Linked DNA regions of Drosophila melanogaster. The protein of the gene in region 1 interacts with the protein of each later gene in a pairwise test. Each region holds a gene or a part of one and is shown on either strand. Other genes may lie near its edges.

What was found.
Region 2: the proteins of SuUR (region 1) and CG18563 interact in a two-hybrid assay, tested with the Drosophila melanogaster proteins (one large-scale study listed by BioGRID).

The regions. Positions count from the first base shown.
Region 1 is NT_037436.4:11,062,925-11,069,525, forward strand, and holds SuUR (suppressor of Under-Replication), read left to right. Parts: upstream 1-2,066; 5' UTR 2,067-2,243; coding exon of another isoform or gene 2,244-2,450; 5' UTR 2,451-2,470; coding exon 2,471-2,798; intron 2,799-2,905; coding exon 2,906-3,105; intron 3,106-3,171; coding exon 3,172-3,350; intron 3,351-3,436; coding exon 3,437-5,618; 3' UTR 5,619-6,101; downstream 6,102-6,601. Other genes in the region: CG32075 (uncharacterized protein), read right to left, coding at 1-199, 263-477, 538-1,537, 1,597-1,736; CG45101 (uncharacterized protein), read left to right, coding at 2,244-2,450; CG6310 (uncharacterized protein), read right to left, coding at 6,207-6,382, 6,444-6,601.
Region 2 is NT_033779.5:17,456,046-17,459,846, reverse strand, and holds CG18563 (uncharacterized protein), read left to right. Parts: upstream 1-1,802; 5' UTR 1,803-1,821; coding exon 1,822-1,977; intron 1,978-2,040; coding exon 2,041-2,091; intron 2,092-2,152; coding exon 2,153-3,085; 3' UTR 3,086-3,177; downstream 3,178-3,801. Other genes in the region: CG5050 (uncharacterized protein), read right to left, coding at 1,101-1,371.

The DNA.
Region 1 (6,601 bases):
CCAGTCTGATGTATGCTCTTTGCTTTGAGCTGCTTGTTCCAAAAATCGTTCCAAACGGTCTAGATTGTTGCTCTCCTCTGAAGAGCTATCTTCTTCCATAGCTTCCTCTTCATAAAATTCTTCAAGCTGTGCATCGCAGAGTTTAGTTAAATCCTCAATTTGCGTCTTGGTGTATGGAGGATCTGCGAGCGGTAATAATCTAAGAAAATGTCAATCTTATTAATCCAAAAGCAAGTAAACCCAAAAAAAAATGTATACCTACCCTTTTAGAATGGGCGCTGAGTAATTGCTAAATGCATCAACACGCTGCATAATAAAATCACGATCAAAAATCAAAGACCTGGACTTTTTGGGATTGTCGCCAAAAATAAGGGTAACCGAGAGATCGGCATTTGAGTGTACTAACAGACTGCGCATTGTCTTAGAAATTTTATCCGTGTTTAGGGTGGCAAAGTCCGCTGGTTTTAGTTTATCGTTCTGGAAAATAAAGAATATTTTAGTGTTTTCATCGTTAACACACTCCGTATTTATACTAACCAAATCCAGTTCGGCTTTGTACATGCGCTTCATACGGAACAGCATCCCAAATGTTTCCAACATTTTCTTTGCCCAGTAGCTGGCTCCCAGACGCCTTTGCTCCGACTCGTTTTGGTTTTCACTCAGTTGAACTAGGGCCAAAAAAACCTTCTCGATATATCCCTGCACGGCCAATAGACGGAAGAGTCCCTGTGTGGCTGCAATGATGACATCCTCGTTGTCGTCGATTTCCAAGCCAACGCCAAGGAAGTATTTCATTTTAAGCAGGCATTTTGTATATATGTCCAGCAGATCCTTCATCGATGATGACTCCTTTTTGACCAACGCACTTAGATCACCTAACACAGCACTCAGAATTTCTTTCGATGTCTTCGCCTTCTTGCTGGAGGAGTAGACTCGTATCTTATTGAATTCACCACTGGATTTTAGCTTGCTAATGGCCTTTAGTTTCTCAGCCCCCTTGATATGGCACTCCAGGGTTAGATCGTAGATCTCCAGAAGATCTGTCACAGCCTTTTCAAACTTAAGCTTGTCCTTGCGATGCAGTTTGCCAGCATCCAAATTGGACATGGTTTCCATGTGTGGCAACCAGTAGTAGGTGCGCAGCCACTCCAGACAATGATTCGAGGTGTTTCTCAGCACCTCCACAGGCGGCAGCTCCTGTCCATGGGCGCACAAGTGGCGCAGATCAACGATGAACGACTGGAGGCCCAGTTCCTTGGCCGTTTCATACATGCTGGACATGTTGTGTCCCTGGATAATGGAGGACATAAAGTTGTAGAATCGTGTAAAGGCACTGGCATAGGTGTCCTGTATTTTGGCGCTGCCCTCCTGGTCCTCCAAGTGCGCCTGAACAAGCACCGATGTGGCCAAAACCGCTGCCGGGCAGAGACTTCCTCTTCGCAGACACCAAATGCGGATTTTACTGAGCGCTTGACGCCATGTGGCTGGTGTGTTGGACTTGCCAAACAACCATTTGTACGTTGTATTAAATTCCAGCCTGAAAATGTAATGTTTTTATCAACGGATTGGATTTGTTTCCACTTTTTGTCTACGCACGTGTCTCGCCAAGGAGTGACCACAGTTCGTTGTTTTACATTTGGTGGCGGTGTGACAGGAACAACTTTGGCTTTCTGCTGTTTTCCCTTTTCAGGGCTTTTCTTTTTTGCCTCAAATTTTTCCTTCTTTGCAACAGCCATGGCAATTTGGTCTGAATAAATTTAAACAAATTCCATGCGAAACAAACCGCAAACGAAATCACAACAGTTGCAACAGTGATGAGCTAAATGCAGCTATAAAAATGAATTCCTTACACAAGTTTTGAGTTGGCAGAATAAATAATTTAATTTAAAAACATTTTACTCGCCAAAGGTTTCCAACCTAATGTATTTTACTAATCCTTGTCGGTTCAGTAAGTTTTTTTTAATATTTTGCTATTAATCAAGAGCAGTATCTCTTTTGGCTATTTCTAGACATTGCTTCGTTTGCCAACACTACCAACGTCCAACAGCTGATCGCGCCAACAAGACGCAGCCGGTTCTGTGTGAATGGTGAAATAGAATTGGAGCCAAAAATAATATTTTCTTCTTGTTCGATTGTTAAGCCTTTTCCCGCGCCCCCGCCATGACTAACAGCGCTTAACCCAATTTCCCAAAAGGGACGAAAATTGTCCTCCGAAAAAATTGAAGCTTAACTAGTTTCAACACATGTACGAGATCCAACATCCTGTTATCATCAACAACAACTACAACGTGGTGGACATACTGCATCCGGAGAATATCGAATTCGATGGGCCGTCTGCGGCGCGAAAGATGATAATTGGTTCATTTTCGATGTTCGTGATCTTCTCGTACCTGCAACTATTCTACATCCTGGTTGCCATCTATCTGGCCCTGCATCACGCACACCATTGATTCGAATTCTCTGAAGGATCATGTATCACTTTGTATCCGAGCAAACGCCGGAGGTGCGGCTCACAGATGAGGCACTGGTCACGAGCCACGTGACGCAGTACCTCAAGAGCTTTCAACTGGATGCCGTCCGCTTCGTCTACGATCGTTTGGCTAAGCGGGAATTCTGCATCCTGAATGATGAGAGTGGCCTTGGAAAGGTCGCTACGGTGGCGGCACTTCTAAGTGCCCTACCACCCGCCAAAAAAACACTTGTGGTGCTCCAGAACGATGAGCAACTGCTCACCGGTTGGCGATTCCATTTGGACACTCTCACTGACCTCCAGGTGTACATCATTCAGGGGGTGCAAGGTAATGCCTAATATTTAAATGGATTTGTTGATAAGAATGTTATCGTAATTTCACATTATTGCCATTTAAAAATTAAACTTCAACACCTTCACTTTCTGCCTTTACAGATACCACCGACTCCCCGCACAGCGTTTACCTGGCGAAATGGAGCCAACTACGGAGCATTGGAGATCTCAGTCGCCTCAAGTTCGACTACATTATGGTGGATAATCGGGGGCATTCGCTGAACAACAGCTTTTGCACTTCCATGCTGCTGAAGCAATTCGAGGGACGGGTAAACGTTCTTATCTCCAGTGTTGACGTTACGGTGAGGCAATGCATTCATAATATGGTTTATATCATTTTAGCTTATGTGGTTTCTCTCTCTCTGCAGTCCGACGTTAGGTTGCTCTACAATGTTCTACGGTTGGGCGGCCGACTGGAGCATCAGTACAAAAGCTTTGCGAGCTTCGATCGAAAATTCCATCTGCCAGATCCGAAGGAGGTATTCAGTAAGCGCATAGATCTCGAGGAATACTACAAGCAGCGGGGATTCCTCAGCGAGTACATCAAGTAGGTGAACCAGCAACGATCAGTTTCACTGTTGCATAAGACCGGAATAGTCAGTTGCATATGAAAATAACTTATATAATTTGTAGGGACTTTCGTCTGCGTCGTTTTCGTCATCAATTCGACAAGTCACTGCCACTTGTCGCACCGGAGCAATACAAACACAATCTGAATCTCTGGTTGGCCTCAAAGAACAGCCAGAGCACAATAAGCGGCTCAGATGTGTGCTCTACAATCGCTTCCATAGACAACAATCCGGCTCAGCAAAATAAAACTGGGCTCTTTGAAGAAACGGATAGGTTATCCGAGCACAGCGTGGATGATGTGGCAATGTCACCGCTGATATTCGAGTATTCCGAGTCTGACGATGAACCCCTAACAGTAGAACCTGATGCAGATCAAAACCCGGTATTAGTTGTATCCAGCGATGATTGTGAGATTGTAACACCTCCAAGTACTCCGCAAAATCGAACGCCCTCATTAAATGAATCACCAAGGACGAAATCAAAGAAAAAATTTAGCAAAAAAACGTCACCGCGCAAAAAAGCTGATCTCACCGATTCCGAAGAGGATGATGAAGCGACCGATAATATGCCGCCAAGGAAGAGAACTCGTGCAGCCACCGTTCATCTGACACCTAAGACAAGGAGACTCAATGTTCGAATTTTAAGGGTTTCCCTCGATACTCTGAGCACACCACCACCGTCCAGAACCACTACTGCGATCGTAACGCCCAAAACGGAGCCCACAGCTAGAAGAAAAAATCTGAAAAAGCGCACGGTGAGCCCAGTGGATGTGGGTCGTCCAGCCACAAGGGGAATGCAGCGCCTAACACGATCCGCTGAAACAAAAATAAACAGTAAGTACTTGAAACATCGCTCATTGGATGATGTCAAGCGTAGCTTTCCAAGGAGAGTCAAGTTGGAGGGTAACCAAACGCCCAGAAGTAGCAAACAAATAGTGAAGCAGGAGCCTAAGTCTAAAGTCGGGCAGGAAAAGAAACAGAAGACGGTGGATGTACCTGCTCAAGGAACTGCGAAACGAAAGCCTGGACGTCCGAGAAAATGCCAAACCAAGACTGAAGATTTGGGGAAGACAAAGACTAAGCCGAATTCAAAGCACTTGCCACCTACTCCTCAAGTTCTCAGTGGTAGCTCGTTGTCCTCGGAGTACATGCAATGTGCTCAGCGAATACCAGACAATTTGGATGCCATTGAGTCGCCCGCTTTTCGTGTGCCCTTTACACCTCAACAAACTCCAATGCTTCTAACCTTGCCGTCTACACACAATTTGCTCAACGATTCTGAGGTGGTGTCTATTCCGCTTTACAAAGATCCAGTTGAGACAGTGGTGATCAATAGCTCGCACGATGAGTGTTCTCCGCAGGATCCATCGCAGAGTCGTCGCACCAAGGCTTTGAAAAGAAAACGCAAACCCGTGACGTCCGTCAATTCAAGTTTCGGCGGCGGATTGGGTCTACCACCGGCCAAGAGGAGTGCCAACAAATCTCCAGATCTATTTAGCATATCCTCGGAACACTCGCAGATTCCGCTGGCGCAACCAAGACCCTCATCGCCCTTCGAAGGCTTTAAGATCTTTGGCTCTGAGGTGAAGCAGTTTCAGCAGCAGCTAGCGAAAGTAAATATATCGGTGCCAAAAAAGAAGCGAGATCGCTCGTGTTTGGATATCCTGGAGCAAATGTTCGAGCCACGACAACAGCAGTCGGCTAAAACTAGTCCCAAAGTCTTGCCAACCTTGCCACTGACCCAGAAGGATGATGCAGAGTCTACCATTACGCAGAGAAGAAGAACCCTGCTGGAAGATGACTTCTTTGAGATAACGAACAATGGCCAATTTGGCAGTCGCATGCGATTGAACTCCTCTGGCGAAGTATCGCCCGTGCAACCGGATCAACAGTCCGTCAGGCCGTCGCAGGCCAATAAAATCACCAATTATTTGATAGGTTCTGGAATTACGCAGGAGCGAACGCAACCTTCGAATGGTAATCGCAATTCCATTCTTGCATCGCTGCGCAAGTCACCCAAATCTCCCAAACAGGGTGCTAAATCCACTCAGGCCACGAAACTAACACGCTGGTTTGGCTCCGTCTTCGGCGGTGGAGCCTCACAGACCAGCTCCGTGGAATCGGTTAGTGCACCAAGTACGCCGGTGAATTCATCCACAAGTGCAGCAGCTTGTCAAACGCGATCGGCGAGAAGTGGTGGAGCATCAGGACCGACCAAAAGAAAGCGATTGGAACTGTTCAAGTGATGAACAGCAATCAATGAAAATGACAAAAACCAAATCAAATCAAATCCAATTATTGAATATATAATGAATGAAGGAATATATAACATATAGTACGAAATCAAAAGTTAACAGCATCCAAATATGAGGTTGTAAAATCAAATTGCACAGGACCGTCTAGCTAATTTAGTTAAAATTATACTTTGTGTGCGCATTTTGAAGAGTAAGGTTACCATAAAATTGAAAAGACACTGCATAATATTGTATGCGTATCTTGTAAGTAGATATAATTGGTAAATTATTAGTTCACAAGTTTATCTAGTTTCTCAATTCATTTTCCAAAATGTGCCACCTGATTTAGACGTGTTTTTTTTTTTTTAAATTATTTCAATACGCATTCAAAGTGTATTCAACAATTTTAAAGTAACGAAAGATATCGTTTTTAGAAGCAAGTACCGTGTAATTTTGTATCATCGTTAAATAAACACAGGGTTTACATTTAAAAACAAAGTATTGTGTGTGTTTTTTTTTTATTAGGAATTAAGATTATTGGTAGGTAAGTCAATTAGTTGTTTGCACATATGATTTAAATTTGAACTAGATCCTGGTATGCTATCCTCTCTGTTTTCCGAATATTATCGTTAAGTTGTGCATCACCGCCTGGCGCTGGAACTCCAGTTCCCGCCTACACATGCCGCCCAAGAGTGGTGGACACTGATACTGGATGTTCTCCTGGGCAAAGGTATCACCATTGGAGTTTCTGAACGTGAATTCACTCAGTGATTGTACTGCAATAGAGATTCATTTACGATTAGCGAGGGCATTCATATCACTTCCGTCTTATCTTACGGCAATAGAATCCGGCAAAGAAGCAAGTCTGATGCGTGGACTTAATGGCATAGGCCACGGGCGATACTCCGGGTAATGACTTGGTGACCACGTACTTGGCCGTAGCCGTATTCAGCCAGTATGGCCAATGGGATAGTCGCTCTGTGTACTGCACCGTG
Region 2 (3,801 bases), on another chromosome or scaffold:
TCTATTTCCCAAACGATGGATTACGAATGAGTGTAATAGTGAAGCAATTGAATTTAAGATTTGAAGGATATTTAATGTAAGTTTTATGATAAAATGCCGGCAAACTGCAATAACTTTGCATGTGGTAACTGTGGACATATGAAAAATGCAACCGAGTGTGCAAGGGATAGCCCAGAAATATATATAAATTATACAAAATACTCATTGCAAAATATGTGAAAATAAACAAACTAGCAAATATGAGCTTAGATTGTTTTCTTAATGTTATTTTTTGGAATCTGCGTTATATATAAAATGAAACAAAAACTCTTCTTAAAAAGGTAAAAAAAAAAACAATCTTTCGATTCGTGTATCACTATGATTTTACCATCAAAGCCTTCGTACACTCCTGGTGCGCTTCGTTACTACGTGGACTGCCGTTCAAAGTGACGTCTTAATATATCTTATGTATATGTATAGTAGGTGTTCTTTTAGGCCACCAACTATTTTATTTAACAATAAGAGTATAAAATATATTAGTATTCTAATATTCTAGTGTTAGCCTACCCAATACCAATACCCAGAAACGACCTTATACATTTTTTTGTTTAGCTTATCAATATTAATTGACGTTCCAAAAATTGCTAAAGCCAAAGTTTAATAAGCCTATAAAAAAGGCATTGATAGCGTATTCAATTTCTGTTTGTTATTTATTATTTATATATTATTTAATTATTTACGCATTTGTTAGGGAAAAGTTATCTCTCTATTACTTTTAAAGTTCTTAATTTATAATTTGTAAATTTCTAGCTGATTTCCTTTAAGTAGAACCTTAAAGACCCAGTTGCAATGACTAAAATATGTTTTAAAGTTCTGTGTCAAGCTCTACAAACACCCACCATAGGCTTACCTTATCATTACACTAAAAAAAAAAAAGTTAAGCAAGTTAACAATAGTCATTTGCATGTTAACATAGGTTTCAGAAAACCACAAACGATTCCAACGCAAACAGCACTGTGACTCTTCCCCCATAATAGGGGAATTATTGGGGGATTATTGGGGATTACATTAATTTGGTAACTGTTTGAAAATATTTTTATAGAAAGTTTATTTAATTAGGTTTAGTTTTGACGATATTTGAGAGACATTCCAGGCAGCAGATACAAAGCAAACAAATATATCACGTTAAAGGAATAGCGTCGAAGTTTTATCCAGATATGGTTGCCTTGAAAGGGCGCAATCACATGGTCGTGGAGGCGTCCGAGTCCGAGGCGACAGCAGGAATCACCGAAGACACCGTTGCGATTTCGGTTGATCTCCTGGCGCAACTCTGTGATTTCGTTCGACATTTGTTGAGCACTCTCACGCAATTGTTCCAATTCTCCAGTGTGCCTTAAGTAGGAAAGTGAATAAGAATTAGATTAGCCTATAGCATATAAGCATATAATTATAGCATATAATTTAAACAAAACGATAAAAATATAACAAGAGAGAATGCTACAGTCGAGTTCCCCGAGTATCAGATACCCGTTACTCAGCTAATGTGAATGCGAATGCGAAAGTTCATCATTATTCTGGGAATAAAATGAGAAAAAATTTAGATTTCGGCGGCGAAATCTCGTTAGATTGGGCGTGGCAAAAAGCTTTTTTTTTGCAAATCGATAAAAATTTACAAGACTTATAAAATTATGAAAAAATTTCGAAAAATGTTTACAGAAATTCCTTTTCACATATTGTTTTTTTTTTTTTTTGTAACTGATAAGACTTAATATAATATAAAGTGTACTAAAGCATCGGAAAGCTTGCTCTATCTCTCAGTCAATTTAATCATCCCGAGCAAACATGGGATCGATCGTGGCCACAGCAGCTATTCTTTTATTCTGCGTCCTTTCGGGCGAAGCCTGTAGGTATTGTGTCCCTATGGAGAAGTGCTTAATACTAAGTCGAAAACTAAATAGTTGCCCATTTAATCACGTCTGTTGTGACATTATCATAAAGGTGTATATATTTTGATTAGAATCCCTGTACGCAGATTTGGAATTAATATTTCATAATTTGCAGAGTCCTTATATCCCTAGCGGACCGAATGAGGAATCCGATTCTGAGTCTGCAGTATGCTTATTATTTTAAATTGCAATTGAATCTGTTTAATATTAAATTTTCAACTTTTCAGTCATCTTCTACAGAAGAGGAAAACATACCAACCTTTATCTATTTTCCAACGAGACCAACAGTCTCAAGTGAGCCCCAAAACAATGTTTCTACGGAACCTGATGTACCCATTACTTATTGGCCACTTAAAGGATCGGGCGCCCCAACAAATGATGGTGCGCAAGCTGAGCAACCAAAGCCAACTGAACGGACACAGCCAGGAGGCAGGTGCAATACGACTGGTCTATATTCCTGGGTGGTAGCCCTATTTTACGAAGAAGTTTACTTGACCGGCGGCTCACTAATTAGTCCAAAAGTGATCCTAACGGCAGCCCACAACACAATGAACAAAATGAATGAAGATAGAATTGTGGTTAGGGCCGGCGAGTTTGTCATGAACACAACAAATGAACCCATTCAGTATGAGGAGCGCGTTGTTGAAAGGATTGTGAGACATGAAGGATTCATTTTTCAGTCGGGTATTAATAATGTGGCTCTTATTTTCGTAAAAACACCGTTCGTGCTAAACGATCGCATTGGAGTATTGACGTTGCCAAGCCGACAAGCGTCGTTCGAGGGACGTCGCTGTACGGTTGCCGGTTGGGACTTGGTGAGTTCCCATGATCAAAGCCGTATGAGAATTATAAAGAAATTAGAGTTAACCGTGTTGGACAGAACGACATGCGTGGCTCAGTTTAGAAATACAACTTTGGGCAGGAATTTTGATCTTCATCCGAGTCTGATTTGCGCCCGAAGTGAAATAAACCGGGATTTCTGCTTTGGCGGTGGAGGTTATGCATTGTTCTGCTCCCTCGGAGATGAGAATCCACACGTCTTCGAGCAGGCTGGGATCGTCGCCTGGGGCATGGGGTGTGGATTGGACCTCCCGGGAATCTACACCAATGTGGCAATGTTCAGAAGTTGGATTTATAATAGGATAGCATACTTTGGCTAACGCTTAAAGATTATTACATCAATTCTTCATTAAGATTGTGATTATGCATTATTGTATAAATATACAAAATAAATGAATTTTTAATCAAAATCAAATTTAAAAATTTTTTCATTAAAAAAGGTTTTTGAGACGATATTAGCAAAGATTTTTAAATCGATGTCCATAATATTCAGCTGAATATATAGCGTTGCATTTATATAGCTTTAAATATTTACAAAAAAATAGGAAAAATAGTACAAATCGACAGTGGCTAGGAAAATCCCAAATTGGAAAAAAAATAGGCATTTCACTCGGCGATAATCCATGCATCCTAAGGTCAGTGTTATGTATATAAATGTGTACATATTTCAGATGATAATTCTTTTGTACGCATATTTGTAGTTCTTTCCTCTTTATGTTTTTTTTTTATATATGCGTACATAAAAAAAAAATTTTTTTTATATTGAAACTTTATTACGTGTTATACAGGTCACGTTACTCGAAAAGGTAAAGGGTAGATACATAACTCGATTAGTTAAAAGGTATGTAACAGCTAGAATTAAGCGTATCAAATCCTGTGAGATATATATGTATAGTCCTGGGAATGATCGTTACCAGTTTAATTAATCTGAACATTTTTTTTGAAAACTTTAATGGATATTTCCAAAGAATTCGGAAATATCTCTTTCGCAATCTCTTAACTTAAGCGTTTTCTGTGCAATCTTTGGGAATAACAC